6 linked regions of the Nothobranchius furzeri genome follow. The protein of the gene in region 1 binds, or shares a complex with, the protein of each later gene. Links are inferred from orthologs where the notes say so. Each region holds a gene or a part of one and is shown on either strand. Other genes may lie near its edges. The genes, in order: thoc3, thoc1, chtopa, sarnp, thoc7 and thoc2.

The links.
Region 2: thoc3 (region 1) and thoc1 share a complex: the UniProt entries of both Homo sapiens proteins name them as parts of the transcription/export (TREX) complex. The link is inferred for Nothobranchius furzeri from reciprocal best matches to the Homo sapiens genes THOC3 and THOC1.
Region 3: thoc3 (region 1) and chtopa share a complex: the UniProt entries of both Homo sapiens proteins name them as parts of the transcription/export (TREX) complex. The link is inferred for Nothobranchius furzeri from reciprocal best matches to the Homo sapiens genes THOC3 and CHTOP.
Region 4: thoc3 (region 1) and sarnp share a complex: the UniProt entries of both Homo sapiens proteins name them as parts of the transcription/export (TREX) complex. The link is inferred for Nothobranchius furzeri from reciprocal best matches to the Homo sapiens genes THOC3 and SARNP.
Region 5: thoc3 (region 1) and thoc7 share a complex: the UniProt entries of both Homo sapiens proteins name them as parts of the transcription/export (TREX) complex. The link is inferred for Nothobranchius furzeri from reciprocal best matches to the Homo sapiens genes THOC3 and THOC7.
Region 6: the proteins of thoc3 (region 1) and thoc2 are in contact, whole or in part, in a cryo-EM structure (PDB 7ZNL), measured with the Homo sapiens proteins. The link is inferred for Nothobranchius furzeri from reciprocal best matches to the Homo sapiens genes THOC3 and THOC2. Residues at the interface, in NP_115737.1 of Homo sapiens: Asp193, Met196, Ile208, Val217, Gln218, Asn221, Ala222, Pro224, Ser225, Ala244, Asp245, Ala246, Leu247, Ser249, Trp251, Asp252, Asp254, Glu255, Leu256, Val257, Cys258, Val259, Cys261, Ser263, Leu265, Asp266, Pro268; in NP_001075019.1 of Homo sapiens: Tyr395, Arg396, Pro401, Lys402, Gly403, Ala404, Lys405, Gly406, Ser407, Pro446, Ile447, Ala450, Arg454, Cys500, Asn501, Ala502, Cys503, Met504, Glu506, Pro563, Arg566, Gln567, Lys570, His573, Tyr603, Leu604, Thr605.

The regions. Positions count from the first base shown.
Region 1 is NC_091741.1:68,371,614-68,376,506, forward strand, and holds the start of thoc3 (THO complex subunit 3), read left to right. Parts: upstream 1-1,466; 5' UTR 1,467-1,541; coding exon 1,542-1,721; intron 1,722-2,586; coding exon 2,587-2,743; intron 2,744-3,971; coding exon 3,972-4,176; intron 4,177-4,893. UniProt on the Homo sapiens protein: Component of the THO subcomplex of the TREX complex which is thought to couple mRNA transcription, processing and nuclear export, and which specifically associates with spliced mRNA and not with unspliced pre-mRNA.
Region 2 is NC_091751.1:49,147,754-49,152,794, forward strand, and holds the start of thoc1 (THO complex subunit 1), read right to left. Parts: upstream 3,005-5,041; 5' UTR 2,956-3,004; coding exon 2,908-2,955; intron 2,255-2,907; coding exon 2,181-2,254; intron 2,102-2,180; coding exon 2,041-2,101; intron 1,971-2,040; coding exon 1,901-1,970; intron 1,746-1,900; coding exon 1,627-1,745; intron 1,527-1,626; coding exon 1,478-1,526; intron 1,389-1,477; coding exon 1,293-1,388; intron 1,184-1,292; coding exon 1,101-1,183; intron 1,015-1,100; coding exon 941-1,014; intron 867-940; coding exon 758-866; intron 649-757; coding exon 514-648; intron 373-513; coding exon 272-372; intron 190-271; coding exon 123-189; intron 1-122. UniProt on the Homo sapiens protein: Component of the THO subcomplex of the TREX complex which is thought to couple mRNA transcription, processing and nuclear export, and which specifically associates with spliced mRNA and not with unspliced pre-mRNA.
Region 3 is NC_091751.1:23,238,452-23,243,007, forward strand, and holds the end of chtopa (chromatin target of PRMT1a), read right to left. Parts: intron 2,101-4,556; coding exon 1,923-2,100; intron 1,852-1,922; coding exon 1,699-1,851; intron 1,613-1,698; coding exon 1,410-1,612; 3' UTR 975-1,409; downstream 1-974. UniProt on the Homo sapiens protein: Plays an important role in the ligand-dependent activation of estrogen receptor target genes. May play a role in the silencing of fetal globin genes.
Region 4 is NC_091755.1:36,676,454-36,680,852, reverse strand, and holds the end of sarnp (SAP domain-containing ribonucleoprotein), read right to left. Parts: intron 4,155-4,399; coding exon 4,117-4,154; intron 3,997-4,116; coding exon 3,971-3,996; intron 3,886-3,970; coding exon 3,817-3,885; intron 1,554-3,816; coding exon 1,467-1,553; intron 1,371-1,466; coding exon 1,329-1,370; 3' UTR 875-1,328; downstream 1-874. UniProt on the Homo sapiens protein: Binds both single-stranded and double-stranded DNA with higher affinity for the single-stranded form. Specifically binds to scaffold/matrix attachment region DNA. Also binds single-stranded RNA. Enhances RNA unwinding activity of DDX39A.
Region 5 is NC_091743.1:56,272,243-56,276,893, forward strand, and holds thoc7 (THO complex subunit 7 homolog), read right to left. Parts: upstream 2,781-4,651; 5' UTR 2,694-2,780; coding exon 2,675-2,693; intron 2,468-2,674; coding exon 2,344-2,467; intron 2,240-2,343; coding exon 2,112-2,239; exon of another isoform or gene 1,813-2,111; coding exon 1,726-1,812; exon of another isoform or gene 1,608-1,725; coding exon 1,550-1,607; exon of another isoform or gene 1,472-1,549; coding exon 1,405-1,471; exon of another isoform or gene 1,313-1,404; coding exon 1,243-1,312; exon of another isoform or gene 1,171-1,242; coding exon 1,109-1,170; 3' UTR 1,005-1,108; downstream 1-1,004. UniProt on the Homo sapiens protein: Component of the THO subcomplex of the TREX complex which is thought to couple mRNA transcription, processing and nuclear export, and which specifically associates with spliced mRNA and not with unspliced pre-mRNA.
Region 6 is NC_091750.1:48,346,482-48,351,325, reverse strand, and holds the start of thoc2 (THO complex subunit 2), read right to left. Parts: upstream 3,163-4,844; 5' UTR 3,095-3,162; coding exon 3,030-3,094; intron 1,329-3,029; coding exon 1,273-1,328; intron 1-1,272. UniProt on the Homo sapiens protein: Component of the THO subcomplex of the TREX complex which is thought to couple mRNA transcription, processing and nuclear export, and which specifically associates with spliced mRNA and not with unspliced pre-mRNA.

The sequences.
Region 1 (4,893 bases):
GCAAAGTATTCGGCGGCTGTGGCATGGAGGTACAATAACATCTCATATTTTAAGTTTAGTTTTTTCTGCGAAAACACGAATGTAATAACCCATTGTCCTCTTTTCTATATCTTTTCTCTTCCTGTTTTTTTTTCTTACATGTTTGTTAAGACTATTCTGGAGAAAATGGGCATCCAGGGGAAGGTGACAGCGATGACCAGCTTCTGGAGCTGATCAGGGAGGACATGAGGCTGCAGAGCAGCAGAGGGCACAGGAGAGAAGAGAGAACTTTTACAGGCTTTTTACTTTGATAGAAAAAATGGTTAAGAAAGATTAAACATGTACATATAAAAGAAACATCTAAATAAAATCAGTTCTGTATTAAACACTTGAATTTTATTTTTGTTTACAAATGTGAATTGTTTAATATTAAAGGGTATCCGCTGGGTCTTGAAAAGTCTTAAAAGGTGATAAATCGGTTTTGGTCAAATTAAGACCCTTAAAAAGTATTAAAAACTATTATCACATCTTTGCTCAGGCTCAGCTTGTCGAAAGTATTTTCTCTGAATTAGCTCTCCAACAGTCAAGGAAATTATTAAAAAGCTAAATAAAATTTCGAGCTCCTTCCTTCTCCCTTCTGCTCAGCGGTTCCACGGTTGCTAGGCGACAGAATGTTCGTGAGGGAGTGGCTGGAATTCATGAAGTCTAGGCTTGTCCAAATTCACAGCCGTTAACATCCGGTCTACTCAGCCGACGGAGGACCCAGCCCAAGTCGGCCGAGTAGGCTGGGTCTTTCGAAGGATGCAGACCCTGAATTGAGACACAGCGGATGTGTGTGTCTAGTTGTCGTCTCCGCCCTTTTGGTCTGCCAGGCAACAGCATTTGTTGCATTTTTCATACATGAAGTGGGGGTGGAGGAGTCTGGCAGGGGGTGACTTGCTCTTTAAGAAAAACAACACCTAATTAATTACATTTTATTTTTCAAATTTTTAGGTCTTTAAGGCTTTTTAATCATAACCAATTAGAAAACTCTCAAGGCCCAGAATAAGCATAGATAAAAAGTCTGTTCTAATAGCCATCAGGTTTAAATAACTAAGATAATGTTATTACTGTTTATTGTTGTTTTGAGGGTCATTATATCAATGTTTCAAAGTGTTTTGTTCCGTACAATTTAAAGTAAAAAACAATCATCTGCCGAAATTAAGCATTCCAGTTTGAATACAGGAAAAACATTGGCCGTTTATCAGTACTCAGGTATGCTAGTATGTTCTTGTGTACTAGTCAAGTATGTTGTTGGCAAGGACACAAAAGTCTGTTCTACCGAGTACAGGAGGATGAGGACGTCAATTGGAACATAGCCGTACTCCGTTGTTTCCTCGCAACAAGCGCTGCTTCTTGCTATTGAAGGTGAGCTCAAGTCGCCATTGTTCTGCAGCCAGGTCCTCTTGGAATTACGACCCTGTTTGCTTTGCTTTCCATACATTCTAACTAAACACATCCGAGTCAACAGGCGTCGCTCGCGCGCTCTCCACTCAGCTTCAACATCGAGTTCTCAATCCAAGATGGCGTCTCAGTACTACCGGGAGATGCAGGACAACTTCAAAAACAACAATAAAAGTCGGGAGTTCCAGGCTCATTCAGCGAAAGTTCACTCGGTGGCCTGGAGCTGTGACGGCAGGAGACTGGCTTCCGGTTCGTTTGATAAAACTGCCAGCGTGTTTGTCCTGGAAAAGGACCGTTTGGTGAGTTCCGGTTGTTTCAATGATGTAGCGCGCCAGCAATGACGGCGCTCTGGGTCTTGGCGTGACCTGCTGGCTACCGTCATGGTGCGTTGGGTTGTGACTTGTGATTATTTTGTGGCTCAAAATAAGCCGGAGAGTCGCTTCGCAGTCGGATCTCCTGCGTTGCGGGGGACACTGGGCGACCCTATTGTGAGATTCGTTGAAGGGTGGACAGTCGCGATTCAGGTGTTGTTCTTGGAAGGAGGAGTTCTGTGGTTGCTACCCGGTAGCTGTCTCCGTGTTTTTTGGTAGGTAGACGTGTTCGAGACAGTGGATGATGTTCTTCTGCGGTTCCGCGCGCATTTTTCTGGGTGTAATGGGGGTTACTGTATTCAGTCTGGTCGTGTTGTTTAGTGTGTTTGTGGCAGCCTCTTGGGCGTCTAGCCTGCATCACCAAAGACAAAGCTAGCTGCTGTGTGTATTTGCTACGGCTAACATTAGAATTTTAACTGTTTTCCACACCGGTCTAATCCCATCATTAACAGTTACAACAGAGTAGATAACTGGTCGTTTAATAAACGGAATGGGTTTACTGAGTTAAGTCATTTTAATATGAAATGCCTCTTCGCTGTAAGAAACCAGGAGAATGAGATTCAGGCTGCATTAGAAGACTGTCACCCTTTGGCACATTGCCATTGAGTTAAATACAACTACTGATGACTTCTATAGCGTTTTTTTATATCCTGCTTAATGTGGCTAAATATGTTCAGGACAAAGTTATAAAACTAAACTTCATGCATAAAAGATGCAAGACTGAATCTGCATTTTAAACAAAACATTTTAACAAAGTAACTGAGTTTATTCAGTTAGATTTTTTTCCCACCAGGTGAAAGAAAACAACTACAGAGGACACAGTGATAGTGTGGATCAGCTGTGCTGGCATCCAACCAACCCTGACCTTTTTGTCACAGCATCTGGAGATAAAACCATTCGCATATGGGATGTACGCACCACTAAATGCATCGCCACAGTCAACACGAAAGGTAGGGTGATCACACCTGTTGGAGCTGAAATCTGACCCAGCAGTGCTTTGAACAGATAGACGGTCACATCTTCAACCAGCACTGGTCTGGGTTCTATATTTCTGCTGTTGCTTTTCCTCTCACTTTTGAACAGTTTAGGGTGAAGCTTACAGCTTTTTGTTTTTGTAGTTTGGGGGGGGGGGGGGGGGGGCAGTAATATTTATTAATGTGTTACAAAAGGATCCACAGACATCAGGACTAGTTTTCCCTGTAATTGTTGTTTTTTAACTACAAAGTTATTTTAAAGTACAAATGTACATCTTTTAACATGTAACTACATAATGAAAGGCGGCTGGGTAAATAATTGACTGGAACAATGCATTGTCTGATATTTTCTTATTTCCTCAGTAATCGTTTATCAACCCAGCTTGTGCAAACCCAACCAATCTCAACAGGTTTTTTGATCAGATGGAAGAAGAAAAAAACACGTCAAACAAAAATATTCTGTCTAGTATTAATTTCTGCAGATTTACACAAAACCCAAACATGCTGAGCTCTGGTTAAAAACTTAAACAGCTGCAACATTTAGGCCGTCTTATTGTTTTAAAGAAAAATATGAGGAGGAAAAGCTTTACTTGAACTAGTTTTAAAATACAGTTTGAGAAAATAGCTTGGAGCCAGAAACTGAAACCGAAAAAATTAAATGTTTTCCAGTTTATTTTGGGTGATGACATTTAGAGGCCGACTGATATATTAAACTTTTTCTATATCAGCCATCGGCCGAAATTATTTATAAAAGCTGATAAAAAAATACAATAAAATCAGGCCAACTGCCCCTATTACTAGGATGAAGATAGGACTCAAAGGACCCCAACACACCGTTTTTTAATGTTTTGAGTTTGTTTTATATTACAACTTCAATAAATAATTAAGAGATTCATTTACTTTATGCTGCACACAGTGAGTGTTCAGTTGTCTTTCACAATCAATGTGCTGCTAAAACATTTATATATTAGCTTTAATAATTGGCTTTAGATATCAGCCATTGGCAACAAAATCCTTTAAAAATCTGTATCAGCAACAGCCTTAAAAAACATGTCGGTCAGCCTCTCATTAAAGTACTTTGATACCATGGGTCGTCATTTGTACTAGAAATAGAGAAATTAAATGTTTTTGTCTTATTCTAGCAGTTGAAATTATGTTGTTCAAAAATAATGTGTTTTTTTTTTATTGTTTATTTTGACTTTAGGAGAGAACATCAACATCTGCTGGAGTCCCGACGGTCAGACCATTGCTGTTGGGAACAAAGACGATGTGGTGACTTTCATCGACGCCAAGACGCATCGCTCCAGGGCGGAGGAGCAGTTCAAGTTCGAGGTGAACGAGATCTCCTGGAACAACGACAATGACATGTTCTTCCTCACAAACGGCAGTGGCTGCATCAATATTCTGAGGTAGGATCCAAATGAAGTACCGTATTTTCACGACTATAGGGCGCACTGTGTTATAGGGCGCAGCTTCAGTTACGGGTGTCTTTTTGGTATTTAACACATACAAAAGGTGCACCGGGTTATAGGGTGCAGGCGCGGCACGTAAAACGTACCGGTAAAACATCTGTGCGGGCTCGGGACTCGAAACATATCAGTGCAAACCAGACATTGTGAAAATTATAAACAGCCAAAAGCATGCTTCACTTTACTGTTCTAGTCCTGGTTTAGACCTGGTTTAGAGCGCACGTGCACTTCCTCATTGCGTGCGCTGACGGCTCGTGCTCTTCTAATGGGCTCGACACACGGGAGGCAACTTCGCCTCTCCTCCACTCATTTTCAATGAGACATGCGCGACAAAGCGATAATCGCGGGTCTCCCTCCTACTAAAGCCGGGCGTACACCGGGAGTGCTGCAGGAGGCCACACAGGGATTTATGGGGTTGGATGAGGAAAACGAAATAAAGAAAGTAAATCTGTGTTTTGTGATCAGTTTAATTTGACATGAACACGACAAACACGCTTTCTTGACAATCTTTGTGAGTAAAAAAACGTGTAGAAATAAAACGAACAGCGTGTGTTATTAGGGAAATAGCGGGCGAGCGGTGTTGATGCATGGTTGCGCATGCGCCGTGAGCGGTTCTGGTACTTTTTGGGTCACAGCTGCTCGCAGCACCGTTAGAAG
Region 2 (5,041 bases), on another chromosome or scaffold:
AGGTATAAAAAAACTGTGATGTAAATGGAAATTGTCACAAAACCTCAGAAGAAGAACGGACAGATTTTTTTCGCAACAGACACGTTTTCTCCTGATTTCTGGTCCTACGTGTCTGAACTGACCTGAAACACCAGCTTAGTCGTCTCCTCAATCCATGTAGTCTGGTCATCATTCAGAGCACAGCTTGAGCTGTGTCAAGAAATCAAAAAGCATAAACATGAACTAATTCCATCCCAACAAGTGATATTTGTTTAGTTGCACAAATGTTCACCTTTTGAATTTGACCTGACCCTTCAAGTACTGGAACAGGATCAGGTACTGCACCAGTATGTGTCTCCGGAAGTTGCTGTCGCTGAGCTGCAAGTCCATCAGCTGCAGATTACAAAAAAAAAAAAAATCCCAAAACAATGAAGTTTAACTTTTAAGACAGAAAAACATATGACTTACAGCCATAGTCAGTTAAAAACTGCTTATTTATACATGATTAAAAGATTTTTAATGATTTTTCTGCACCTTTTCGCTCGTGAGAAACTTGGCAAAGTAAACCTGTTCACCATCAGACGCTCGCAGCTCCTCCAACTTCCTCTTTGACGCCTGCATGTCATCCAGTTTGTAGCTTTTGAACACAGCAAGAGTCTCATCGGAGTACTGAGCAAAGCAAAAGCAACACACAAGTTTATTTATTTTTTTATCCTCATCTTGGATATTGACAGTGATCCGTCAAATTGGTCAGAGTTGCTGCACCGAGGTGGATTACCTTAACAAAAGTAATCCATGAGATTTTTTCATAGCACTGCAACGGATTTCTAAAGTAGTCCTGCAATGTCCAGAACTTTCTGTACAGGTTGTAGTCAATCGGAATAGAACTAAGGAACAAAAGGGTACTATTATTTCATGAAGGTGAAAATGTGAGCAAATACAGCAAATGGTTTTCATTCACCACGGTGCCGGGGCGTCATCCTCCCCCATTTCTCCTTCCTCCACTTCCATGCCGTCTTCCTTTTCATCAGCGTGCTGTCAACATAGTAGCAAAAAAACAGATGAAACAGGATGGAAAGGATGAGCTCATTAACCTAATAATTAACCTAACAATACTTCACCTTCTGACCAAGAGTGCTTTCTTGTTCATTTTTATTGAACACGGTTATGTTGTCCAGATTAAACTGGCTTTGTAGATTGAGACCTGGATTAAAACACACACAAAATCTATTTAATTGAGAGGTTTACAATATGATTGTAAAGTGCTTTGATTTTTTTCCCCTTCAAGTTAGAAAAATAACTGACTTTCTTACCGGATTTTTCAGACAGAGGAAAGAGACGTGCCAGGAAAAGCTGGATTCTCCCACAGAATACTGTATTCTGGGATTTCGACAGCCTCCTTAAAAGATCTGTACAGATGAAACAAAAGTCACTTGCACCTGAACTTTCTGAGAATAGAAAGTCTTTTGGATGACAGAGAAAAAGACAAGATTTTTACCGTTACACATTCTCAACAAATAGTTCTTTCCTGCTGTGTAAAAAGAGCTCTGGAAGAAAGAAACAACACAGGTACAATAATGAAACCTTCTAACAAAAACAGAGAAATATTTTTGTTGCCTTTACAAAAAAAAATGCCTGTAATTATACCGATTTCCAGGTAGAGACATTTTCTTCAACAAAAGAGAATATTTTGTCACACAAGTCAAGGGGAAGGCAATCCAGAACGTCTCCCAGCAGGACAAAAGGAGTCGTAGCAGAACAGATACCTGCATTAAAAACAGAATAAATGTTACACTGTCATTTGTTTTAAGAGACGTTTTACCAAAACTTATATCAAAGCGATCCTTTCAACATGTATGTTTAAAATCCAAAATCATCTAATCTAAAATAAATATCCACCTCAGCAGTAGTGATAACATACCCTCAGTAACAGCATTGATGCTCTGGTAGATTAGAGACAGATAGTCATCACAGCATGATTTCTGCTCAAGCTAGAGAGAAACAATCATTAGCGATTCTCACATATTTTCAAATTTAAATTAACTAACTTATTAAACTTACAATCTGGTCACCAAGAACACTCCTCAAAGCCTGATCCAGTGTGGTCTTCTTTTCCGTCTCACTGACAAAAACACACAAGTAGTAAATTTGTATTTCTGGATTATTTTGATCTGGAACCTCGACCCAGGAGCACAACTTACTTGCCGGGGAGTTGGTTAAACACGGCGATTAGGGGTTTGCAGGTTTTACCAGCTAGTGCTTGTGTGCTTGCAGCCTACGGTTGGGTGAGCATGGGAAAGGACATAATGAGAAACAAAAGACGATGCAGAAGTTTGCTTCCGTTTTCAAGCTTCCGATTCGGGAAATGGCTAAGGCCAAGGCCACTCTCAATTTTTATATACGGTGACCATCTTTAATCTGCTTCATCTTAAAAACTACAATACCTAGACAGTTCAAACCTGGACGGGATTATTCTAGACTAATAGCAAATTCCATAAAACAGTTTGTGATTTGTGAAACTTCAAAATCTGCCTATTTTAAGTTTCACAAATCTGAAAAAGGTTTCACAAATCACAAACTATGCTTTATGGAATCTGCTATTAGTCTAGAATATTCCAGTCCCGGTTTGAACTGTCTAGGCATTGTAGTTTTTTTAAATAGAGCAGATTAAAGATGGTCATAGTAAATAAAATTGAGTGCAAATGCTCTTTAGCCAATTTCCAAATCGGAAGCTAACTTCAACCTCGTAAACAACAGGACCGTTCAGAAGCGTTTACTTTAGCTTAGCTTCTTTGGCTAACTACTACACTAGTACAACAAGCACAACCATAAAGTAGTGAAGTTAAGATTTTTTACGGTTTTATCAACAAGTTGTCTTACATACAAATATATTATGGATGGAAATGACAGAAAGAAGCCACTTCTCACCGAAAATTTCTCTTTAGCGTCGACAAAATTAAATGAGGACAGAGACATCTTTACGCTTCTGAAACCGGAACCGCCAACGAATCACTTCCGGTTATGAAGTGGCGTTTTTGTACGTAAAGGGAATTATCTGACAAAATTATACATTAATACATATTATCTATAAACGGAGTTAGGATAAAACTAACTTTGTATTTTTTAATTTAGTTTCAAATAGTTCAGTCAGTCACATTTTTATTTCCATTTTGGATGAAAAATGGAAATAAACCGTAGCATAGCAATCTTGACCACACGATGGCAGTGTTGTACACCATTGTTGCTGTTAAAGTTTTTCATTATTTTTTAATTTGCTTACATTCATCAAACTCTGAGTGGCTGTAAGTGATGGATGCATGGAAACCTTCTTCAAATGGTGAGTTAAAATTAGTATTTCTACTTCCTGAAAATAACAGTATTAATATTTATTTTAATCCTAATTTCCCCACTGTATGGTTTAGTTTGCCTTTTGGCCAGGACTCACTTAAAAAAATCTTACACTTGATTTTTATTTTAAAGAGTCATGTTCCAAACTTTCTTTATAATAATAATTACAACAACAACAACAACAACAATAATAATAATAATAATAATAAGTTGTGTCAGCCATTGAATACTTGTAAAATAACGTCACTCTGTTTATATTGTATGCATTTCAAAGTTATATTTATTTTAACGGAAAGAGCGAAATAATTTTTGTCCTTTCTTGTTAATAAATATTTGACTTTGACAGGTCACAATGCACAGCAGTTGTAATGTGTTTGTTTTGCATGTGTGCCTGTCTTGGTGTGCACTTCCACATGTTCTAATCATGCAAATGAACATTCAGCTATGTGCTGCAGGCCTTGAATCCTTTGATACCATCTGCTTGTCTAACAATGTCCGATTTGACATTAGAATAACCGCTCCATTACCCTGAGACAACAATCATTAAACTAAAGATTTACTCAACCCATGTGAGAACACTGAAGCTTGTTTTGATCCAGGTCAAGACCTCTAGGATTTACATACAAGGATGATCCTTTTCAGCTCCTTTTGATGGGTGTTTGTAACCTTTTTGTGACAGTGTTTTGGTGGCTGTGCTGATGTTAAGAGAAGAACAATGACTTTGTGAAGTGGAGGCGTTTAGTGTCACATGGAAGCAGGAGAGGCTCTATTTCCTTCACGTGTGTGGTTGTAGTGTTCATGAAAAAGGGAAGTGAGGAGTGATTTACTAATACCTATTTTCTCCCATCCCTTATCTTACTCAGAGTTCATCAGATTGTTGCCAAAAACTGATGAAGAGCAGAAAGGGAGTAAGCACGATGAGAAACTTGGAGATTGTGCTGGGAGGCACTCTTAAAAGTGATTTGTGCGTGGTTTGAGGTTGTGATTAGGGCAAGAAGATTGAGAAATCTTCTACATTCTACCTAAAATGGGTGATTTAATTAATTAATTAAATAATTTATTTATTTTGTTCAATTAAACTTCCCTAGATAATTTGTTCAGCTTTTATGCAACGAGTTTTCAAAAATATACCTCCAATTGCACCAAAAAGTAAAATGAACAAATATATTTAGGTTGCATGCTGAGGCTTAGTTCCATGTTTGCGAGGCACGCTCATCCCGCTGTCCGTGCCTGTAACTTCTACAACCTTTGACATAGTTTTGATAAGACACTGGTCCATATAGTCTAACTTTGTGGAAAAGATAAGACGGTCAGACTAGAAAAGGAATGAAATAGGGAAAAATATTTGATTGAGCTGCCATGGAGCAAAGATTGAAGAGGTCCTTCGCCCATGTTTGTAATACATTTGCAGTGGTCTATTGTAGGAACAAATGCCTTGTAAGTTGTACTCTGGGGGAAAAAAGCTCCGGTGCACCTGTTTCAGCTCAGAGAATTCAGCCAGAGGAGAAAGTAGGTTCAGACGACAGGAATGTGAGTCTTATTTCCTGATATTGGGACATCTCTCCTCTGATTGGCTAACAGCAACATGACCTTACCACTGACTCTGCTCTGCAACATTGATTGTTTCATCTCCACAATCCTGTAGGAGTTCTGCTGTGTTGTAGAGTTGCTAATGCTAATGGTTAGCTTCTGCTAGCTGAGGCGTTCTCTACTC
Region 3 (4,556 bases), on another chromosome or scaffold:
TTTTCCTATTTGTAGTGGAGGTGAGTGGTACCCGGTGGGGTCTTCTGCTGTTGTAGCCCGCCTCAAGTTTGTGCGTGTTGTGGCTTCACAAATGCTTTACTGCATTCCTCAGTTGTAACGAGTGGTTATTTCAGTCAAAGTTGCTCTTCTATCATGCCATGTTGTTGTTTTTATAAAACACAGAAATGGTTTTGTTACCTGTTATTGACGCTACATGTCAGGCTGACCTGAAGAAGCCGGCAGCAGTCGGCGAAACTGTAGCATCAATAACAGGTAACAAAACAATTTCTGTGTTTTATAAAAGAACAACAACATGGAATTAGAAATAACGCACAGCAAGAACACACCTAAGATGCTCTTCGATCAGCTTGAATCAGTCGGCCCATTCTCCTCTGACCTCTAGCATTAACAAGGCATTATCGCCCACAGGACTGCCGATTACTGGATGTTTTTCCCTTTTCACACCATTCTTTGTAAACCCTAGAAATGGTTGTGGGTGAAAATCCCAGTAACTGAGCAGATTGTGAAATACTCAGACCGACCCGTCTGGCACCAAAAACCATGCCACGCTCAGAATTGCTTAAACCACTTTTCTTTCCTATTCTGACCTTCAGTTAAGAGTTCAGGAGATTATCTTGACCAGGACCACACCCCTAAATGCACTGAAGCAACTGCCATGGGATTGGTTGATTAGATAATTGCATTAAGTTAAACAGGTGTTCCTAATAATCCTTTAGGTATGTGCGCACACACACATGGTTCACAGGATGTAGTATAGAGAAGTTTGTAGGTCTTAGGTTTGAACGTCCAACCTTCTAACTGGTGACGTTTTCCCAGTGAGACACAGCCATGGAAACCATGTCCCTGTGGGCACCAATCGCAGAACAAAAGCTAAGATCACACCAGGACATCTGCTTTTCTACATGCTCCAGAACACCTACAGGCCTTAAATGTTTGACATGAATCAGAAAATATCTCATTCATCATTTTATTTCCTTAACACAACTTGGGAAATAATTTTAAAACAAACATCTTGTCAGCTTCACGGAATACAAACAACCCAAAGCCTGAGCACTTCTTTCCCTGTCAAATATAAGAGAAAATGACTCGTCTTAAAATTCTTGTAAAATTATCATTTTAAAAAACGTTTCCACTGCAAGTTTAAGATGAGCCAAAGAAACTCTGGAGGTTTGAGGAAAAACTAAGAAAAACTAAACAGTTTACACCAAACACCTGTTTGACTAAAACTTCATACAGGAAGTCCGTGGACATCAGGGTCAAAGTCCCCTTGAGTTTATTCATCAGCTGATTGGCTCTTCAGCAGCAGGTGGATGCACGGCTAAACAACAGGGTGCAGCAACACCACTTGACGCTACGCCCCAGTCTTCAGCTCTGGTCTCGCTGGGCCGTCACTCCATGCTGTCGGGATCTGCCTGGGCCATGTAGGCATCCAGTTCTGCATCCAAGTGTCCCTTGGTCTTTGACATGTACGCATCCAACTGATTGTCCAGTTGTTCCCTTGTAACGGTGGGCCGGCCAAGTCCTCTGCCCCGCCCACGGCCGCGGCCCCCACGACCAGCAAATCCCCCACGTCCACGAAGTCCACCACGGCCTGAAGACAGAACATCATCAGTGAGACAGTGAAAAAAAAAAAGACACGAGTCATCAAACGATTGTACTAATAAATACAAACTCTACCCCGGCCTCTGGGCATTCCACCTCGACCTCCTCCTCGAGACAGAACTCCTCCTCTTCCTGCCACTCCTCCACGATGCCGACCTCCTCTACGCATGGGGAAGCGTCCGATGCCCCCCCGACCTCTCATAGGTCCACCTGTAGGCATTCGCCTGGCTGTTTAACACAATGTGATTGCTCAGCTGAGAGGAAACACCCCTACCATCTCCACGCTGACGGACACCTACCCCTCAGAGAAGACAGACCCCCACGAATGATCCCTCCTCTCAAACCCCCTCTGAGGCCTCCTCTGGTCATCCCCCGCATGCCTCCTCTTCCTCCAGGAGGTCCACCCCGCATCAGAGGCCCAATGGGCCGGCCCAGCCGGGCCTGGATGTTGCCTTTCCCCAGACGTTGCTTTAGGCTCTGGTGGTTCAGAAGGATCGGTCACAGCAACAAATCAGGAACACAAATAAAGCGAAGCAAGAGTAGGTCCAGCTTGTTATCCCAGCTTTCCATCAGACGCGCGAGCGTCACAAAATGTCCACAAAGCGTAGTACGTAGCACTTAGCTTCTATTATATTTACCTGTAAAACCTCTGTGACTGAGGTAAACAGTAAGTACACCACAGACCTGCTAGGATACCGTTACCATCTTTCTCCATGCTTGTTATCACGTGAACCGCTGAAATCATGCTTGATCTAGCGTTTTCCTGTGATTTTGTAACGTTGTGGGTCCAGCTGTGACACATTCACTGCCGCTTCATGTCAGAAAATCTCCCGGTGAGACGATATGCACCGCTGAGCTCGTGAGGAACCGCGTCACTTATGCATCCAGTGGAAAGCTCAGGTTAAGCCGGGTGTACACTGTGCGACTTTTTCACTTTTTTGAGCCGATTTTCCACTCGTGCGAGAATCCACGAGATCGGGGCGAGTTTTGCGCTGAGCGTCGTGTACAGGGGGCTACGAGAGGCGATTAACACCACGTGACCAGCTACCGATCAGCAATCGTGAGCTCGCACAGACTTCTGGCGTGTTTAATATTTTGCTCGTCCCTCGTGAGGGTATCGCACTGTTGAAGCGGCGCTGCGAGCAGCTGCGACCCAAAAAGTACCAGAACCGCTCACGGCACATGCATGCATCAACACCGCTCGCCCGCTATTTCCCTAATAACACACGTTGTTCGTTTTTATTTTCTACACTTTTTTTACTCACAAAGGTTGTCAAGAAAGCGTGTTTGTCGTGTTCATGTCAAATTAAACTGATCACAAAACACAGATTTACTTTCTTTATTTTGTTTTCCTCATCCAACCCCCATAAATCCCTGTGTGTCCCCCTGCAGCACTCCCGAAGGACAACAGGCAAAACAAGACAAAAAAGTCTGACGTGTTGTGTAAAAACTGCTATTTTTAGCACATTTTTAGGGCCGACGTGTTGCTACCAGACGTACAGCGTGAGCAGTCAGATCGCATCCGAGAACTGGGTCGTGCAGTGTGAGCGCACGACTCGTGAGATCTGCTCTGTGAGGAAGTCGTACAGTTTGAGCTGAAGCTGAGTGCTACGAGTGAAAAAGTCGCACAGTGTCCGCCCGGCTTAAGGGTACAACAAGACTATTTGGACATCTCACCCCTGATTGGCTAACAGCAACACAACTCTACCACTAACCTTGTTTGATTTGCATCATTGATGTTTTACCTCCATAAATGAATGAGTTCTACTGTATAGAGTAGCAGCTAATGCTAACAGTTAGCTTCTATTAGCCAAGGCAAGCTCTAGTCTCTCCTGAATGCTAAACCAACAACTGCCTTCCCCATCTTGAGCCAAGATGGCCGAGTCCATGAATGTTAACTTACTGTGAGGTAGATCTGACTGGCTTTGCTAACCTGAGAATTTCCTCGTCTGTTTTCTATCGGCTAATGCAGGAAAAAGGGGTAGAAGACTATTCACATATTCAGCCTGCATGTGAAACTCAGAGTGACCAATCATTTAAAAAAATAACACATAAAAATGGTTTCTCAGTGAACTTGTTCTTTAAACCTTTTATCAGCTATAAAGCAGCTCGTTTCGATTTGATCGTTGTCTCACTCCCATTTCTTTTTTGTTGCACATTGAAGCTCTACTTGGGACCTTGTTAATGACCAACCAAACAAACACGACGTTTGGCCATTTTCAAATGGTCTTAAACTTTTGATCAGGACTGTACTTCCCAAACAGCAAATGCATCTTCTGTCAGGCTTGGGTTTGGTTTCAATGATAATTCACTGATAAAACCAGAACAGAATCTTTCTGACTTGAGAACCCATCAGACCTTTGCTAACTTGTGCCCTTTTCCCTACTGAACACAGCTTTAAGCCTGATTTATGCTTCTCCGTCTGCGTCAGTGCGGAGACACGCAACGCCATTATCCGTCCTTGCGTAGGGATCCGGCAGGCACGCAAGTCCGTACGGAGTCGAGCCCACTTTTTTAAACATCCGTCGAACGAGACGGATTACGCAAGCCTGTGATTGGTCAGGACGCCGCTGTTGTTTACAGCGCCGCCATTGCAAAGAGAGCCGAGGATAACTAGCGGCAGACACGAAGAAGCTTGAAGAACACCTCGCGAAAAAACTCTAAAAATATGAACGTTTAATTCTCCCGTGACTGGAGGAGTGAAAAGATGCGCAGCAAGAGTTTTATTTGTGGACGGAAATGACAGGAAACGTGGGTTTAGAGGTGGGGAGCGCATGAAGCGGTGGGAGAATGAGAGACAAATAAGTCTGTGTTAAAAGTCTCTTATATACACAAAAAACACAAAATAAACACACGATCTTGGACCGATACATGACAGGATACCACAGAACAGCGCTACGCCCTCTGTGGTCCTGCCGGGCAATTGCTTTGCA
Region 4 (4,399 bases), on another chromosome or scaffold:
CCTATTAAATGGCTACATGAACCACAGAGTGCAGCGAAACCAGCACTGAACTTGGTGAGTGAATTGGTGTATCTGGAGTCGAAGCTGATTTGAACCCACAGTAAGTGTACTGTACACGCCATAATGGTCCACAGAAACATGCACTGCAGATGAACCCCCAAATTCCACTACCTCCGCCCCGCCCCCGCCTTCCGCAGCCGCTCGCTTCCGAACTGAATTTAAAAATTACAGTCTATGATTTAAACTGGTACCCGCTCTACAACGGCTCCCCTTCGGTGCGGAGACCTGAGGTGCGCAAACAGGCATGCGCGGGATTTTCGAGATCTTGCGATACAGTCCGAGCAATAAACGCGGAAGTTAGATCCAAACACCCGTCGTGTGGGAGAAGCATCGAAATGAACTGTTTAATCTGCCCATCACTTGTGTTGAGAGATTAGCAGTGTTTGGATCAACAAAGTGTGACTACTTTGATAGTGGAAACTGTATTTATGGCTTACTTTTGTGCATTTAAAGTTCAGCCGCCATTGATAGTTGTTAAAAGTTGTTAAACCCGTGCATATGAAACAAAAAACGCCTTTTGTTTATCGATTTATTGTGAAAAACGGAAGTTGTGCTTGCTCCTTTTCCTGTTGGGCCGTTGTGATTCCTGTCCGTTGTGTTCCGGCGTCCGGCAAAAATAGGATCGATTCTATTTTTGCCGGAACAGAGGGCGGCGCACTGCCGGAGCACGGCCGCAGTAGTGGAATTGCTCTGATTGACTACAACGGGACCGATTTTGCTGCAGAGTTCGTGGCGGAGCGGAGGTAGTGGAATTTGGGGGGAAGTGTGTTGCAGCGGTGTGTGAGAGCGTAAATCTTGTGCAAAACTAAACAGATTTGTCAAAAAATTGAAAATTTATTTTAAATCACAAAGTGTTAGAAAATGGAACAGATAAGCTGAAGTACAAGCAGCCGGTGAACCAAAAGTACAGCTAAGTACCGAACAGTCACAGGTGGGTTAGCAAGAGATCGGTTATTCTGCAGTTAACTCACTATGGCTTTAATATTGGAAATACCTAAATAAAACTAAAACAGATTTTCTTTTAATCCAAATCAAACGCTGCTCCTCAAATTTCAATTAAGATAAAAACAAATGAGCAACCAGACAGAGAACCTGCTTTCGTTCATAGATCCAGAGACGTAGGACACGACTGAGACGCTGGGAGTGTCCGTCGCATCGAACTTTGTATTTAAGTGTACTTTTGGTTTGAAACAACCCAACAAATCATTTATTCCTCAGAAATCTACGCTGCACAGCCTGGAACACAACTTCAAAAAACAAAACACCGTTTACACTTTTCCAAATCTTTCAGCACGCTTCATTTTTTTTGCCTGCAGAGAGAAAAAAAAAGACAGAATGAGAGATTTTAATCAGCACTTTTATATATTTACTCTTGTTTTGACTACTAATCAAACAATAAACATCACCTCCACATCTCCTGCTCCAACAGCCGACATTCCCGTTAGGATCCCAAATCTCTCCTTCCTCTTCATCAGCTTTTCATCCTCTACAACCTGAAAAACAAACTTATTATAACGTTCCATTATAGCGTTCTTATCCATCATAACGTGTCAAAACATTATTTATTAAAATGGTTCACATTTAACAGGAAGAGAACAAAAACAGCTTCCACCCCATCATTAAACAGACCCTCCAGTACTCTGGTGCAGCAACTATTACAGCTAATGGAACAGATATCTTCAAACTTTGTGTTTAAGTTGTTTTTTTTTCTTTACCAATCACAGATCTTTTTTACAACCATAGCCGACAGCTGACTGGGTCATAAATCAGCAGCAGATCTACAACAGTGAAAGAGAATCAAGTAGCTGCAACGCCCCAAATGTTAATTATCACACAAATAAATCAGAGGCAGAAACGTTTGTTACAGTAAATCTGTCGTTTCTGTCCTGAATGCAGATGAATTTGATTATTTTCCAACAAAAGTGGTAATCTGAATTTATTTTATATAACATGATGTTAAAAGGAAGATGTCTAGCAGGTCTACGGTCCGTACAAGGCATGTCCAGGAAGCACCTAAACCCTCTCAGCAGCTTTATTCTGGACACTTTCAGTACCTTCCAGATGAGCTGTTCCAGGGTTCTGTCAGGATTTGAAGTCTTACTCGTTGAATTCATGATAGGGAGTCTAAGTTCTGGTCGGCTCACGGGTCCCCGAAAGAACGAAAAAATGAACGCAAGTCAAAGGAGCTAAAAACGTTATTTTCTAATCCGCTTTGCCTTAAGCCCTGGATCACACGTTGTCCTGCAATTTAAATGAAAACTAACGATGTGTGTTTCGACCACGCCTGTCACGTACTTTGAGATTTATCAGCTTTAGTGATGTGTCGGTCGCCAATGAACCGGCTCTAAGAAGTGAACGACGGGAGCCGGCTCGTCATGTGGGTGTGTTTGGAGGACTTGGTCAGAAGCCGAGCACAGGCGTTCTGAACCACCTGTAGACGGTTCAGGGAGGTTCTGCTCAGACACGTGAAAAGAGAGTTACAGTAGTCTAAGCGTGAGGAGATGAAGGTGTGGAGAACTGTCTCAAGTTCAGAGCGGGACAGAATGGGACTCAGCTTAGCAACGTTCCTGAGATGGAAGAAGGAAGAGCGAACAAGAGAACTGACATGAGAATCCAGGGTGAGAGCTGGGTCAAAGGTCACGCCAAGATTCCTGACAGAAGGTTTGGTGTGGGAAGCAAGCTGACCAAGAGAGTCTCTGACTTTGGGATCCAGCTTGTCTGGGGCACAGATGAGGATCTCAGTCTTATCTTCATTCAGCTGAAGAAAGCTCCCAGCCATCCAGGCTTTGATAGAGTCTAAGCAGGTGTGTAACAGCTGCAGCTTAGACATCTCACGGGGCTTAAAGGAGATGTACAGTTGGATGCCATCTGCATAAAGATGGTAGGAGATTCCTTTGAAGGAGCTCAGGATGTGCTGAAGAGGAAGTAGATAGAGGAGGAAGAGTAAAGGCCCCAGCACAAAACCTTGTGGGACACCATGAGTAAGAGAGGTGGTGGAGGACCTAAACTTGGGAGACGGCCACAGAGAAGGAGCGCTCAGAGAGATAAGAGGAGAACCACTCCAGAGCAGATCCTGATAGGCCTCCCCAGTCTCTCAGCCTCTCCAGTAGCCGGTGATGGTCAACAGTGTCAAAGGCTGCAGTCAGGTCCAGCAGGACCAGAACAGAACAGTCCCCTGCATGAGCAACACAACCCTTCTGATGCATTTGTTTGCTCTTCTTTCTTGGGTAAAAAATGCAACGTTTATGTTTTATCTTTACAAATAACAAAAGCCTGAACGTGTTCTGCCATGTTGTAGAGTTACGAATGCTAATGGTTAGCTTTAGTCAAAAAGTGCTCTGCTCTCTCTCCTGGCTGCAAAATAATCACATAAAAATAAGAATCCCTCCCTGGTTCCAAGCCAAGGTAGGCGGGGCCATGAATGCTAATTTTCCCAGTGACCTAGAAGAGAACGTCCTTTTCTGACCCGATTGTTTCCCCGTCTGCGGCTAATGCAGGCGATGCGGGCTGAAGAACATTTTTTCTATTCAGCCTGCATGTGAAGTGAGTGACCGTATTTAAAAACAAACACTTCACGTTTTCTCAGTGAACCAGGCATTTAAGGTGGCCAAGCAACTACATTCGTTTGATCTACCTCAAGATCAAAAGACAAACAGCTGACGTGTTTCTGAAGAGACCAGACAACAAACCAAACCCCAGACCGATGGAGATCCAGCTCAGGTGTAGAGCAACACTAAAGCAGCGCGGCTCACCAACCTTTTGTGAAACAGATGAAACGTTCATGCCGAATCTTTCTGCTCTCTTCTTCAGCTGATCGAGGTTCACCTAAAGAGGACATAAATTAATCGTTAAACCCATCAGGACTCCACCAGCCGGGGATCTAAAGATCCATCTGCTCGTCAGGACTTACTGCAGCTTTACTGTTGGCAACAGCCCCTGTAGGAGTGCAGGGAGAGAAAACATCAGCAAACCTCATCACCTACAGCAGGATCACGTTATTCTTTTACTGGTTATTAACTCTGCTTCTAGCATTTATGAACACAGCCGGGTCAGTACCTGGAGAGGGACTGGTAGCATCAGTAGGTAAACCAAACCTGCACACACAAGGCAGATCAGATCCATATTAATATAAATATAACATTTAATAAAGAGTTATGACACATGCCCGCTGCAGTGGAAGTGTGGGAACAAATCCTTCAGTGTTCCCAGTCACATCAGGGATAATATTTAAATTAGAGGCTTTGCATTCATTCAAGGAATGCATTATGTCTTCCTTACTCAGCATCTTTTAATATTTCTAATGAAAAACAGCCCAAATCTACTATTGAATCAGGCTAGT
Region 5 (4,651 bases), on another chromosome or scaffold:
GACTCAGTTCAAAATGGAGCTGCTGGTTTACTCCCAGGACAAGACCTACAGTAACAGCATCACTGAGAGCAAACAGGATGGAGAGAAGGGTGAAAATGAATCCTTCAGAAGATGAAACCTTATGTACTGCAATGACAATGATGCATCTTAAATCATATTACAGAGTATGTTTTAACATTATCAGAGAAAAAGCCTTCTTCAACTCAGGGTGAGCCTAACTGCTCCTTCCTCCTGCAGATTGCTAGCATGCGCCTGGCAGACCAGATCCCGCTGGTGATCCGCTACCAGATGCTGCAGGAGTCTGCCACTGAGCTGCAGAGAGAGATGCTCCAGGATAAGGAGAACATGGAGCTCTTGCTGAAGGAGGACTTTGACATTGGCAGTAAACGAGCAGCTTTGCAGAGTTGACTAAAGCACATCCTGCAGGCCCAAGCGTACCTGGTAGAGTTCTAGACCTTAAATCCCTTTTCTGTTGTAGCATGCATGATGTTGTTCTAGACTTTATGGTTCGGTTAAAACAATTTACAGGGGTTTGCAACAAAGTACATAGTGATCATTCACATAGGAAGTCAGAGGCTTTCTTTCATTGTGGTTTATTTACTACATCAGTAAATTTTGGCATTCATTTTTAAATAAATGAGCAAAACCATAATTCTTGTTACAGACGTCTTATTCTCAGAAGAATGTAATTTTGTGAACTTTAAATCAGAAACTATTTGATAGTTTGGTATGAAAAAATGATAATTTAGTATGAAAAAAATGATAATTGGGTTTAATGACACTTAGATTTTACAAGTATTCAAACTCTCACTTATAGTGCAGAAACTTCCAGAGAAAATACAGCACATATGAATGTTCAACAACTGTTCTGTCCTTGACTGACGCGTATTAAATTTCTTTTCTGATCAGAGTTTCAGTTGATTTTCTTAAAAGCCTGGAAGCTTTGGTTACATTTTTACTGAGATTATTTTAATGAAAAGAGAATATAAGAATTAAAGATATACTCCAAGATGACAGCTTTATTCAAAAATACATACAAAAAAGGATTCTTAGACAAACTAAATTTCAATTAAAAGCTGTGACTCCTTCAGTTGGGCTCTTTATGTGTTCAATCCCCATTCTCCATGGGACTCTCCTGACTGTGGTCGTCACTATCTGACTTTTCATCATCTAGGAAAGACAGGATAGACGATGAGGGCAGCTCTGACAACAGTTTGTCTGTATAACCAAGTGGCTACTTACTTTCTAGTGTCTGCTGCAGCTCCTGAATGGTAGTAAGAAGAACATGAAACTGCTTCTTCCTCAACTCCAACTAAAGAGAATGCAAACATGGCATAAAAAGTCAGTAAAAATACAACTAAATCTGATACTTTAACAACATTAGGCCGCTGTGTTTGAGTTTACCTTTGCATCTACGTTCTCTTTGATGTGAGACAGTTGCTGGAGTTCTTTATCGAGTGCCTCCAACTGCCTGGAAGGTAAAACAAAAATGAGCACTTTATTGAACATGAAGGGGAGCTTGACATGTTTTATCGATAGGCTGACTTACTGGAGTGTTTCATGTCTGTCTGGGTGTTGCTGGATTACCTTTGCTAAAGCATCATATTCTTTGGAGAGACAGAGAACAGATACTTAAAAAAAAGTTTACATCCTTTTGACAACGCACATTTGATACCACATCTGGTAATTTTTCTGTAAATACAACAGATGTTAAAATGTCCTTACCCTGGCGATTTTTTCGTATTCTCTTGGCACGCAGAATTTCTTTTTTGCATTCTGTGATCTTCTCATGTGCAGATGTGATGTTTTGTTCTGCGAGGTGCGAAAGAAAAAAGTTTGATTAGTGTTAATTGGGCGATGGTGGCACAGGAGTTAAGTGCTCGCCCCATAATCAGAAGGGTGCAGGTTCGAGCCCCGCTCAGTTGTAGCTACGATGTAGCTCATCACCACCAGTGTGTGAATGTGTGTGTAAATGTCTGATTGTGTTGTGTTGTAAAACGCCGTGGGGGGTTCCAGGACTAGAAAGCTCTATAAAATACAGGCCATTTGGCATGTATGACTAAAAGAATTAACAAAAAATTCTGTGACATTGAAAACAAAGCCGATCTTACCTATGTTTGCGTAGATCTTCTCATAATTCTCCATTTCACGAAGATTCATGTCATAAACCATCAACGTCTTTCCCATAGAAAACTCACACTGAGCCAGAGTAGCCACCATCCTCTGGTACTGAGTGAATCTACACACAAAGAGCCCAATGTTCAGCATTTCACTGCAGTTGTGTACTCGGCATTCAAGATGTTACAAGCAAAAACTGGAGACAGATATATTGCTAGCTCGTACCCTTCTTCTAGGGTCCCAGAAGGTGAGTTGCACCACTTGGTGAAGCTCTTCAGCAGCAGATTGATTCGGCGGTCATCTCCAGCTCCGTCACCGTCAATGAGAAGACGTTTTCGAATCACCTCATCTGTGGAACATGCAATAAAGCAGCTGAAGAGCGTTGAAAACATAATGCATCTATGCTAAGTGTGCTAGCTAACGTCGCTATTACAGGTAGCATTTCTGGGTATTTTTCCAGATAATAAGGCGCAATTTACAATGTTTTAAACTTAGACGAAAACAAAAGTAAAGAGTAACTTAAGTGCTGAAATTAGTTAATGATAAAGCCACAAACCATCAGTTACAGCTCCCATGTTGCTGTTTTTCTTCTTCTACTACTTCCGTTCTACTGGTACTGATTGATCTTTTGTCTTTAGGCAACTCAGACACAGCTGAGCTCGTTACTGCCTTATCTGGTAAGAGGACGTTACTGCATGTTGTGATCTTTTCGCTTCATCTTCGTTAAATAATGTGGATTTTAAGTATACAGTGATTACAGTGATTATGTGACACAGAGATTTAGTTTAAATGCAATTTAGTAATACCACTAGGTTTTTTTATCACACAATCAATTACAAATTACACAATCAAGTGATGAAATTGAATTACGGTAGAATACATTTTTCAAAGGCAAAATGAATGCTGTAATCACTTTTTGCTGTGTAAAAAAACGCCTCAATTATGTATGAGCAAAGCCCTGCTCATAAAAACAGCATATGTTGTGTTTGGTGCTGGTTTAGTGGTAGATCAGCATACAATGCTGGTCTAGCAAGATGGTTCAGCATCCAGTCACCAGCTTCCCATACTGGACAGGCATTGTACACATCTTTTAACACAAAACCCTAAACTTTTGCAGCTGTTCAAAAATAAGCACTTTCTTGACATCAAAACGTGTCTTTAAAATTCACAGACATATATGTGAAATATATGGCACATATCAAATAGGATTAGATTAGGATTAGAAAATAGCCTCTCCCTGGGCTGCCACCTTAGCGTGGTGGAGGGGTTTGAGTGCCTCAATGATCCTAGGAGCTAAGTTGTCTGAGGCTTTCTGCCTCTGGTAGGGTCACCCACGGCAAACAGGTCCTAGGTGAGGGATCAGACAAAGAGCAGCCCGAAGACCTCGTATGATGAATTATATAAATGGAAAACGTGTTGCCTCACCCGGACGTGGGTCACCGGGGTCCCCCTCTGGAGCCAGGCCTGGAGGTAGGGCACATTGGTGAGTGCCTGGTGGCTGGGCTTTCACCCACTGAGCCCGGCCGGGCACAGCCCGAAGAGGAAACGTGGGTCCCCCTTCCCATGGGCTCACCACTCGTGGGAGGGGCCAAAGGGGTCGGGTGCAGTGTGTGATGGGTGGTAGTTGAGGGCGGGGACCTTGACGGTCTGATCCTCGGCTACAGAAGCTGGCTCTTGGCACATGGAATGTCACCTCTCTGGTGGGGAAGGAGCCTGAGTTCGTGTGTGAGGTTGAGAGGTTCCAACTAGATATATTCGACTCACCTCAACGCATGGCTCTGGCTCTGGAACCAGTTTCCTTGAGAGGGGTTGGACTTTCTACCACTCTGGAGTTGCTCCCACTGAGAGGCGCCGAGCAGGGGTGCGCATACTAGTTGCCCCCCATCTTGGTGCCTGTACTTTGGAGTTTTCCCCAGTGAATGAGAGGGTAGCCTCCCTCCGCCTATGTGTGGGGGGACGGGTTCCGACTGTGGTCTGTGCTTATGCACCAAACTACAGTTCAGACTACCCACCCTTTTTGGAGACCTTGGAGAGGGTGCTAGAAAGCGCTCTTTGCAGTGACTCCCTCATTCTGCTGGGGGACTTTAACGCTCACATGGGCAATGACAGTGAGAACTGGAGAGGTGTGGTTGGGAGGAACAGCCCCCCTGATCTAAATTTGAGTGGTGTTTTGTTATTGGACTTCTGTGCCAGTCATGGATTGTCCATGATGAACACCATGTTCAGACATAAAGGTGTCCATATGTGCTCTTGGCACCAGTATACCTTAGGCCGCAGCTCGATGATCGACTTTGTTGTTGTTTCATCTGACCTGCGGCCTCATGTCTTGGACACTCGGGTGAAGAGAGGGGCGGAGCTGTCAACTGACCACTACCTGGTGGTGAGTTGGCTCAGATGGTGGGGGAGGATGCCGGTCAGACCAGGCAGGCACAAACATATCGCGAGGGTCTGCTGGGAACGTCTGGCGGAGTCTCCTGTCAGAAGGAGCTTTAAGTCCCACCTCCGAAAGAACTTCCAAAATGTTCCGGGGGAG
Region 6 (4,844 bases), on another chromosome or scaffold:
CTGCGTGACCATCACCCACGTCTCTACAGCCAGTGCAAGGTAAGTTAACATTAGCATTTTAGCTTAAATGCATGACGTGAGGTCTTTTGGTTGAGGGAGAATGCAACGAGTCACTATAGACTGCAGCCGCAGCGCCCTCTGCCAGCATTTAAACCGTGTCACGGACACCCTGTTGCTGGATGAAGCATCTTATTTGTTGATGATGAAGAGAAATATACAATTAGTTCCTTGTCATTGATTTGTTTACTTATTCAATGCCATTTATACTTGAACATTTGGATTTGATTACATAGTGTAGTAGTTATTTTAGTAATTTGTTTAAAGTTGCTATTTATTTTAAATACATATTTTTTTTAAGGTTGACTTGTACAGTGCTCAAGTCAAGTGTGGACTGGAGTTTTAGATTTTCATTTTGATAATGAAGAAAACAAGTATATGAGAAAACAAGTGGTGTTTATTTGATTTGTTGACATATTGTTTATGTTTCGAATGTTTGGATTTGTATAATTTAAACCTGCACTGACTACTGTAACATGTTCCAGAAAAATAAGCTATTTGTTCTTTACTTGTGAAAAGTTGCACTTTTGCTAAGGCTTTGTGTTATTTTAGGTTTAATAAACACTGTTAAACCTTTTCAGAACTATTTCAGTTTGTGTAGAACAGGACTATCAATGCTTTCTGAACATATGCAACACCGTTTAAAAAATACCGCGATAATACCAAAAACCGTGATAATTTTGGTCACAATAACCGTGAGGTTAAATTTTCATACCGTGACAACCCTAATTTTAACAGTCAACGGTTAACTCCTAGCTTCATGTTAGCTCAGTTAGCTCATAGCTATATCGGTTCAGAGATTGATGGGTGTCAATTATTTGCTCCCACCCTCACAGCTACACACTCAGCTCCAGCTCTTTGCCCATGTTTTTTTTTTTTTTTTTGCATTTGGTGGTGGTGACAAAACAAGTTAAACGGCCAAGATGGCAGTGTGGGAACTGCCCATTTTGTTTCAAACAAGCCCTTAAGAAAAATATAGGTGACATCACAGATGGTTAATTCTTTTTTTTTAAGTCATTGGAATGAACACCAAGCAGCTAAGTAAAAACTGTTACAAAGTGCCTACCCCTGGGAAGAAGGGTGTCAAAATAAATTTTAATTTTTAGTTATGTTGGTTTATAAGAGGGAAACTTTTACCACAGCTTGTCTATGAAGTGGTGTGTTGGTTCTACGTAATGTTTCTACGTTTTCACACAAAAATCAAGCTCTGCTTACCTTTGATTTCACTTCCATGTTCACTTTTCTCTGTGAGCTTTTTGCAGAGTTGTACACTACAAAGTAAAAAAAAAGAGACAAAAATATAGTTACTATGTCTGTTACCTTATATATGGCAATAAAAAGCTGTTTTGCAGCCTAATAAATAAACTTCTAAAAAGGAAGACTACACAAACACACAGAGATCTGTTTAATATAACAAAAAATCCTTTAGTTTCTGCCTTTAATACACCGCCAACCTCTAATAATATATATTCAGTCAAGAAAGGTGAATGAAAAATAGAAGTGCTTAGGTTTTGGGCATATGTGTAATTCAGCTAAGCAGTATAAACCTGTGTACACAGAGGTTTCTTATGTAGTTATTTGATGTTGCTCTAGATTGACTGTAACTTGATGTGAAAGCATTTTTAAATGTTGTAATAACAAGTCAAATATCAGCTTTCCATATAAATTGGTGAGTGGGTAATTGTATTTTTCTTTCAAACACTTTTAACAAAGATAAATGTGATGTTTTATTTCAAAATGAATCATAGCAAACACTATTACACTGGGTGAAGAATGACTGAACAAAATAAAGTCTCCATTATAATACATTTAACAAAACAAAACAAAGTAACTTAGTGATATGTAGTTTCTATGCCAGCTTGTTGATTCTTTGGTTCCTTTAAACCAGTTTTGCTTGAGTCCAAAAATGTTGGTCTTGTCTTACAGATGATCACCAGAACAATGTGATATTACATCTGACCAAATTAATATCAATCTGTTTTATTCAATCGCCTTAACTATATATTATTAACCAGAAGCTACTCAATTTCATTTCTCTGTATAACTCAATTTAATTTCTCTGTAAGTCTTGCACATGTGGTAGAATTGACAATAAAACTGACTTTGACTTTGACAGACACAACCATCATAGTAGTTTGGTAGGTCTAGTGCTTCTAGGCCTGTCTCGATGCAAGGCCTATAGTAACTAGCAGCCAGGAATGTGTGGATCAGCTTACGGTGTGACTGGATATGCTTAATGCTTCTGCTTAATAAAACACATTCAAACACTATTCACGGTTTTTTTTTAGGTAATATCACAGGTCAAACTTTATTATTGAGGCCCAGATGTTGGCCTGGTCTTTACTCAGTCTCCGACGCTAACGCAGACGTTTAATCGATCAGAAATACAAAGTTTGATAAAATCCGATCATCAAACATTGCATCTTTTCATTCCCACGTCCAGTCCAAATACAGAACATTTAACACGTCGCTTCACCCAAAAAAAATCTGCGGCTAACATTACGGCTAACTAGCTGTTACGATCCGTTGTTTCCCTCCACATGATTGGGTCAAAGTTATAAAACATAAAACTATTTTATTGTTTTCAAACCACTCGTGGGTTTGCTATTGCATGGTACCTGAGCGTTAATACGAAGTTTTATCAAGTTTGTAGCTGAAAAAGATCCAAATAACAGATAGATTTTTTACTAGCTTAGCTTCGATAGCCACCGTGTTTACAAATCTAGCCAGACCATTAATATGTAGATAGATAATAACAAGCCAGTTAATGTTAAATGTTACGAATTTTGTAATATGCGTTTGACTAATTACACGCCTAGTAACATTTTTTATTTTTGTTTACTCGACAGTGATAAGCCTCTTGAGCTGTTCGCTAACGTTACTTTGTGCTAGCCATGATTTTAAAGTAAGCTTATTGTTTTTATGTTGCTGCAACCCCTAAACAAACTAAGCACAACATAAAATCTACTTACAACTCGTGTTTTCCCAATTTTTCCCAGTTTTTGATCCATTCACCAGGGAGGGTAAAAGACGCCATCTTCAATATACTCTGCCTGGTGTTGTGCCAAAAAAATTCACCCGTATCGTGAAAAGGACCCAAACAAGGGAAAAACATCACAATCAGTTTCAATCACAAATACATTTATAAGAAGTCACAAACGGGTTAGTGTTGTTTTTCTGCGATTAACAGAACAGTTAACTTACGTTATTTATTTTGCTATTTTTATAAAAGGCTTTAAAATCTCCTGGTCAGAAAAATAACTACCACGAAACACTCTTTTACGTGTATATCGCAGTTATTTTCAAAATAAAAATGTTTTTCATAACAGCAGTGAAAACCAGGAGCCAGTTCATCACTGCTGACCTCAAGTAAAGTTAGTGAATGAAGTGGTTTTCTACGTTTCTTGCTACGGCCATGCTTTCTACAGCAGGGGTGCTTTTTTCGGCACAACACCTAAAGTGTGGTTCATCGTTGTGATGGCACACAGGTTCAAATGTGATGTTAGCTGCCGCTGTTGCTAGCTCGGTGCTACTCGTTGGGATTGTTCAGAGCTGTGTCCACACGAGTTTCCTAAATGGTTTACTATTGCCAGTCATTATTGTTTTATGCTTAAAGTTTAAAAAGGTCAATTTGAAGCGTTTTCTACAAAAACTACTACTTCTGCAAGCAAGAGGGGAAAATGAATGTGTTACTAGCATTTGGCATTTTACAAGATGTGAAAGTGTGTTTTTAAATGACAACATTTTTCTACCTGTCAAAGTCACAAGCTTCAGAGGGTTTATTTGGTTATGTTACATCTTCAGACATAAATACAAATCTTCAAGGATGCAATGGGCACTTTGTAAATAGAAGAGAAACACAAAAAAATTTTAAAATATGTATAAACACAGATGTATGCACGTTTTCAGCAGTTTGGTGAAAACAAAGATCCAAAGTGACTTGAGTAAACATTTGCAGGCATCTAAGATGCATAATTAGTCTAATTTGCCGTACAAGAATACTTTACAGTACTGTAGTAACGTTTATGACCATGTTGGGATTTTCTTTACAGTGACATTTGGAGAAAATTAGGGTTCTGTTATAGCTACAACATGAACATCACCTTCTATAGTCTGAATTATTAGCCAACTAAGGCAGTACACAAAAGAAATTCTAATAAAAATTACAACAATCCAACAAAAACAAGCTACAGTGGATGCATACTTTCAAATTAGTGGGTTAATGTTAAGGTAACATTCAGCTTTTTACTCAACTTATAAAATAATCACCCATTCATAATATATTACACGCTTAATATTTTATAATGAACAATTCTGAGACACAGATAACCAAATGAGTTTGGAATCGAACATGAATCAGTGGGGAAACATTTTCATATAAATCCTATGCAAAACTGAAAAAACAACTTAATTAACCATTTTCAAACCATTTTTTTTAAATAAAAATGTGAACATGGTATGGTTGTGTTACTATTTTAATATACAAAGAGCAATATACTAGAGACAGAGTTTTATGTATGGCATTGTAAATGCTTCCAACAATAAAATATTTTTAGATGCACACTGATTAGTCATGTGACTCTATTTGAGTAATGCATTACCTTTGCACCCATTAATAATAGAAGAAAATAAAAACAGATGACCGCATCTGTAGTAACACCATTCCGTTTTCATTAAAAAGGATTATTTCAGTATCTATGTGAAATAATATGCTTAGAAACCATTCATTTACATTTGATTGTCGATACAAAATGCCTATAAATGAAAATCATCTCTAAGGTATAAAA